Linked DNA regions of Kluyveromyces lactis. The protein of the gene in region 2 purifies or fractionates together with the protein of the main gene of each other region. This does not show direct contact. Links are inferred from orthologs where the notes say so. Each region holds a gene or a part of one and is shown on either strand. Other genes may lie near its edges.

Region 1 (2,843 bases), on a different chromosome or scaffold from region 2:
ACTAGTACTCTATTTAGTGAACAACGTTTTTGGACAATCGTGTTGCTTGTCAGCTCAAGACTATTCAATGGGTAATGTTTACTTCCTTGTGTGGCAGAAGTAATATAAATGTGTCGATGAGCAGAGAGTTCTTACTTTTTTATTTCTACTATTACGAAATTATATAGAAAAGAATGTATTATAAACATGCTGAGCACTAAATGATTGAAGAACAGAAGCTCTTTAAACACGTTTATTCCGTGTTTCATACCATTGAGTTTGAATAGACAAATTTAATATGATTGAAGTACTAGTAAACGATCGTCTTGGAAAAAAAGTCAATGTAAAATGTTTAAGCGAAGATACTGTTGGTGATTTTAAGAAGGTATTGAGTGTACAATTGGGGACTGCGTCAGCATCCAAGATTGTGCTACAAAAAGGTGGTAGCGTATTGAAAGATCACATAACTTTAGAAGATTATGAAGTTCACGACGGAACTAATTTGGAGTTGTATTATGTGTAAGTTTGTAAAAACATATATGATTTATCTATAAAAATTAGCTTGTATATTATACTCAATATTTGAATATGAGATGGGACTATACCATTAGCGAAAGGGAAAAAAGAGTTAGAGATAAGCATACAGTTACATTTGCTTCATAAAAAATAGTCAACTTGTCTTTTCAGAGCATATTTTGCTTGGTGCTCATCGGAGAATACGTCATATTGCCCCATGTGTGCATCGTCATCTTCTTCGAAGAAGGAATGTAAAGTTTTATCATTAAGCATTGGATCTGTAAGTAGTTTATTTTCTGGAGCTTCATCGAACACGTTAAAGTGAAAGTCTGTTGGTGAGTATAATTCTAAAATAGATGCTTTATTCCCACAACGATAACAGTAATTGGGAGCGGACCAAACAGTGGTGACTTTCCCTCCAAAATAATCCTGATATCCCTCGTTACATAGTTGATGAGCTCTGAGCATCTTTGTGACACCATTGATGCTAAAAAATTTGTCCACTATAGCTTTACCGAAAGTGTAACCAGCACCTCTCGGTGAGACTTTGAATTGTGAAGAAGTGATATCGTTTCTGTCGTCTTCAGGGTCTGACCAGACCAAATCTGCCATGGCGCCATCATGTGGGATTTCTCTGATCCTATCGATAATCCGTATTTGATCAATGGATTGAATATTGGGTGAAAGTCCACCATGAACGCAGAAAATTGTATCATCAATGATACATGCAAGAATCAAATAATCGAATAGATCCGTGAAATACTGCCATACTTGACTTCCCTCGCCAAATTTGTTCAAACATTCCGTATAAAAACCATAACTCTGGGTGATCTGACGTGATTCATGATTACCACGAATTAGATGAATACGGCTTGGATATCTAAGCTTTAACGTTATCAGCAAAGTAATTGTCTCCACACTGTACAACCCTCTGTCGACATAATCACCCAAAAACACGTAATTTGTGGACGGCAGAGGTCCACCAATATGGAATATCTCTAAAAGATCATGGAATTGACCGTGAATGTCACCAACAACAGTCACAGGCGTACTGATATGAACAACATTAGATTCTCTCACTAGCAATTCCTTTAATTTGAAACACAACGCCCTGATCGTCTCAGCAGGAAGTAGTTTCCCCTCATATAGCTGTTCCAAACACCAATCGAGTTCCATAAATATGATATGTAATATCCTCAGTACGGATTGAAATTTTTTGACAGCTCACTAATGGGATATTTTATCCTCCCTTAATGCATGGATCCCAACGCTAGCTAGAATACCTTAAGATGCCCAACAGATAAACCTTACCACCTAGCGATGAGTCGTTCACCCCATATTCTTTGTTTAGCAAACTTTACGGCTGGAAAGATTTCAACTTTTCTTTGTAAAAATCAATAACATTAAAAAAAAAAAAATTATCATGTCAAGAACCAAATTAAAGGTTCATAGGTACCGAGCAAAGTAGCTAAAGTGTGCCAGCCATTCGGATTAGAACAGCGACGAGATCGTTATAAAGATAGGTTATAATTGCTAAGAAACACAACTGGTGTGCGGCAAACTCGAAATAAAGGGGATTTGCTTTGTAATTTTCGGGGCTACTTGTCAATTCATTGTCTATAAGGGCATTCTTCCCGGTCTTTCAGAGATTACACAATCTTAAGGAAGAAAGAGAATTGGTGGATTTTTTAAAGGGCCACTTTTACGTTTGTACTGTACAACAAAGTAACGCTCTGTTTTTTGCTTTATCTGTTTTCCTTCACGTTTGGTTTAGATTGAGCCTCTCTCAGTTCGTCGTTTAAAGCCATGTCGCAAAACAACGATAGCAGAGACGAGGCATATGTCAGGGAGCAATTCCAAAGATATACGACTAAGATGGCTTCTAATAAGAATTCCAATACTGATTCGAAATGTAGAAGTACTTCACATCTGAATTCGCTGGCTTCGATTTCAAGTGACACTTCAAATGAAACTTTAAAGGGAAATTTATCAGCAGCTTCGCCTACGTTTTCATCAGATTCTACTCTGAGTACTAAAAAACTGCCAGTTCTACAGACGCTTCCGACATCTCTGCCAAATGGACAGCATCAACAGGGGCAGCTCTTTCCTGCTTCTTCTTCAAGCTCCTCAGCAATATCTTCAAGGAAACCAAGTGTGTCTGGTTCCTTTGGAACGCAGACTCCGACTACAGCTCAGTTGAAAACTATAACATCGCCCAAACTCAGCGGTGCACTTTCAACAAGGTCAAGGTCTAATTCGCTCACAAGCTCCAAACTATTTGCGCTGAACCAATCCAATGATTCTCCGTCATCGACCTCGGTTTATCCCGTACCGCCTAATGTCGCTTC
Region 2 (4,305 bases):
TCAAAGCAAATAATAGTTCCAAATATCAACGTAACTTTCTCAGATATCCGTTTATCATTTGGAATCCGTTCAAAGACCTCGCAATTTATAAACAACGTCTCTCACCTAAGCTCTTTTTCAAGTTGCTGGTTAAATCTTTATTGGGAATCTGTGCTTCAGTCAAAGAACCTTGATAATGACTCCAACTACATTTTACCTAAGAATGAACGATTTGAGTTTTATATTCCATGGGAGGAACTTGATGGGTTTAAAGGAACCTCTGGGAAAGGTCTTAAATTATTCGATTCAATTTCTATCCGGTGGATGTTACTTTGAAATTCGGAGTGACGTTAATCGAAGGACAAGCTAGAGATTGCTCCTAGTGGGCATCATCTAAGGCGATGTGTATTCTATCCAGTTTTAATTCCGAACGAAATAAGTTAAATTTTAATCTGTAAATAAATAAACTATATATTTTTACATTGACATCCGGCATCATCCGCCTTTTCTTTCGTTCTCTAATTTATTCCATGCAGATTCAACAATCTTATCTATCAACTCTTTTGATTTGACATCAGTTCTGCCTTGCAATGGTTTAATGCTACCAAGCTGATACGGCGGATTTATTTCCAGCTCATCAAGAACGACAATGGATTTTCCCTTCCATACTATATCTGATATAGTCTTATGAATGAGATCAAATATAAATTGACCCTCATAGGAAACATTTTTTCCAATTGACATTTCCTTTTTAGCAGCTGTGTCTATTGTCTTAGCCAATGCATTTTTCACTCTATCGAGATCAACGTATGACGGTTTTACATGATCTTTCTTGAAACTAGACGGATTAGCCTTCTCTCCTACTAGTTCCAGATGCTTGATAAATGAGGTCTGAATGATCTCAAATGTGTATGCTTTATTTTTCTTGCCCACAATCAAAGTGATGGTGTCATTATTTGAGTTGAATGAATACACTTTTCCTTGCGTTACATGGTCTAAAACATCAGTAATTTTAACTTTGAGGCCAAGAATATTCTCCAGAGAAATGCTCATTTAGTTTGCAATCAAATATAAACTAGCGGCTTCGGCCAGAAAAGCTTGCTGGTCACTCTTCCACGATTGAACATCACGAGTCAAATTCGATTTGTTTCTTACAGATTTTCAGTTTTAATTTGTGTGTATCACATTTTTCAGGCATTTGAATAGTTACTCAAAATCCAAAAAAAAGTAGCATCGCATTCAATCAGACATGTTAGAATAAGAACGTTTGCAACTATACACTTAAACTTTTTAGAAAACGTTACTTTTGTGGTTCAAATACATTGCGAGGTATTGCCTGAACTACTCCCGTGGTTTTCTATTGATAGCGGCTTGAAGAGCTGTTTTCTTTTCAACATTGAATTAACGATTATTCAATTTGAGAGATAGAAAGGAATCCAATATTATTTGTGGATTGCGATAATGCCAGAGACACAGCGGTCAAGATCTCCGCTATTGAAGTCTTTGTCTTCTAAAGATTTGAGGAGCAAGACTCAGGCTAGACCGCCATTTGCAAAACAGCTCTCCAATGAACACCAGACTTTCCCTTCGGATACGTCTTTATTCCATGATCTGGATAGTTTACTTAGCAAGAAATTACATTTGGGTGATTCAAATGAATTGCAGCATGAAAACAACGGCACAGATAGACAATCTAATGAAGCGAACAATAGCAGTGAGATTATTGATACTCAGGATGATGCTAATGGGGAAGAAGATGATGAGGATTCAGAGTTTGCAAATGTCGATGAGATCGATGGACCAATCTCCCCCAGTTCTAGTTCTGGTAGCCTGAAAGATTATTTCCAAGGTTATGATTCATATACTAACGGACAAGCATCACCGAAGCAACTAAGGAAGGTTTCACCCGAATTGAATGACAAAGATAAAATAATTACATATGAGGATGTCAAAGTTGAAGAAGATAATAATTTACCAGTAGACGATGCATTAAAGAAGTTGTTACAAGAAAAAGCAGACGAGATTGAAAGAGGTGATCTTTCACATTCATTTACCAAGCCTACGTTAGATTGGCAGGCTTCCGATTTTAATTCATTATTTCACGAACTATCAGAATGGTTCATACAAAAGGACTATGGGAGCTTAAAGACTGCAAAGTTGAGCTTTGAAAAAAACTATGATAGTTCGAAATTTATCGAAGAGCGTAAATACGCTATTCAAGTTATTACAGAGCTTGGTAAAAAGCTAGAGGTAAATTCAGTGGATATCAATACCTTGCTTTGTCTGGCGTATATTTCTTTCGGAACTTTTCAGGAAACGAACAGTTATTTCCATCATTTAGACATTCTACGGAGGAATAATACTCTATTGATGATGATTTCAAAGGTACTCTTACCTTGCTTTAAGAAACATGCAGATTGTTGTAGGGTGAAGAACACTAATTTGCAACAATATAATACTCTTTTGTTCTACTCGGGTTCAATCACTTATTTTATGATCAATATAGCTATTGAGCAAAGAAGCATGCACACCAAAGCTGTAGAAGATTTTATTGATGTCGTACATTCATCTGGCTTGATGCTTTTCCTTACAAAATATATAGACCATTGGCGTTGGAAAAGTCGACTCTCAATGAGAATAAGAAATATCATTATTTTATTCCATAAAGTGCTTCTATTACAGTTTGGTGAAGAGAGCCATTATGACGCAGTGAAGAGATTTGTTCTTCAACATCACAAAATTGAAAAGAAAGACTCCTCTGCTTCGAATCTTTCAATATCTCCATTGGAATATGTTGCTTTTAGGGAAGATATCACCTCAAGATTTCCATCTTCTCAGCTTCCAGAACCGACATATCCTAGCATGCTTGACAACCCCAATTCTCTTTCACAATTTTTAGAGATTCCGAGACCCCGTTCGAGGAGCAGTTCTAACATGTCGTTGGGAGAGCCACAAGTGCATATGGCAACGCCTGCACCATCACAGCCGGCATCACCCACAAGCTCGCCCAACGGATTGAAAACGAGGAAGTCATTTCAAGCCAATTTATCATATCCAGCATTTTTTCCATCCTCTGGTGACTATGATACTGGTGTGGTAGACGAACTTAGTAATAAGCTGAGTATTGCGGTGCCTGAGACAGTGTTACCGTATAACATGCAAGAAGCAATCGAAATTTTGTCAAAATCTGTGCATATAAAACTATCTACTAAACAACTATGGCATGAAAGAGAATTATTTATGGTGCAAGAACGAGGATGGACAAACACTGAGGTACATGAGAAGGACCCATTCACGTATAGAGGTATACAGAATGAGGAACCTGAAACCATGAATCGCATCGAAGATTATTATGCTAATGCTTTACCCCATTTTTCATCTCTAGTATATGTTCTATTAGAAACTATTGAAACTTGTATGTCAAACAAAGTATACCTTGAAGAGGATTTTTCTGAAGAAGAAATTAATGAGCTTCAACCACAATTGGAACTTATAAGATCAAAGGAAATTGCAATGGAATCGAGTTCTGCCATACTTTTCCTCCTTTTAAAATGGTTTAAGGTTAGCCACTTTCTTAAATTTGAGTATCTTTGCTCGTTGATTTACGATTCAAAGTTCATTACGACAAGCGTAGGCATCCTTCAATCTTTTACTGATCAATATCAAAACAGAATTTACTCTAAACATTTACAACCTACCCATTCTTTTTGGAGTGAATGTTCTTTATACAATGTTCAATATAAAGAAACTCTTGAGATATCAACCGCAAATGAGAAAGCAAACAGATTAAATCTCCGAATGCTCAATTCCGAGGTGTATCTATTACGAGTGTTATCCAAAATAACTGGGAAAAAGACACAAAGGCTAAAAGACCTACCACTTAATGTTAGTAACATATTCAAGGCATTGTATTCTATCTTTAATCTGGACATATACCACCCCATATTAAAGATAATTCACGAATTGGCACCATTCAAGAATAAAAGATGGAGGGCAGATCATATGGAATTGATTTCTGGAGTGTTCTTACATGAGAAACTTCATTTAACAGATAACTGGATAACAGGGAAGGATATCACGGGCGAGATCAACGATTCCTATGGCCAAGAAATTGCTTTACGGGCCATGCTGCAATTCTACAATTTCTATCACTATAAAAGAACTATGGAACATTGCGGGTACGATGACAAATTCTCTAACTCTTTCTTTTCAAGGGAGGCTGAACTACTCTCTGCTCCTTATTAAAAAATATGGCATAATAATAAGTTAAACAAATGTATTATACATGTACTGTATTGATATATATATTATGTATACATGTATGTC

What was found.
Region 1: the proteins of FAR11 (region 2) and PPG1 purify together in Saccharomyces cerevisiae (affinity purification with western blotting; 3 studies listed by BioGRID, with this or other methods). This does not show direct contact. The link is inferred for Kluyveromyces lactis from reciprocal best matches to the Saccharomyces cerevisiae genes FAR11 and PPG1.

What each region holds. Positions count from the first base shown.
Region 1 is NC_006039.1:742,253-745,095, forward strand, and holds PPG1 (putative serine/threonine-protein kinase PPG1), read right to left. Parts: upstream 1,672-2,843; coding exon 637-1,671; downstream 1-636. Other genes in the region: ubiquitin-like protein HUB1, read left to right, coding at 278-502; mitogen-activated protein kinase kinase kinase SSK2, read left to right, coding at 2,302-2,843. UniProt on the Saccharomyces cerevisiae protein: Involved in glycogen accumulation.
Region 2 is NC_006042.1:2,261,729-2,266,033, reverse strand, and holds FAR11 (Far11p), read left to right. Parts: upstream 1-1,440; coding exon 1,441-4,224; downstream 4,225-4,305. Other genes in the region: TEP1 (putative phosphatidylinositol-3,4,5-trisphosphate 3-phosphatase), read left to right, coding at 1-315; LSM12 (Lsm12p), read right to left, coding at 475-1,032. UniProt on the Saccharomyces cerevisiae protein: Participates in the control of the reentry into the cell cycle following pheromone treatment.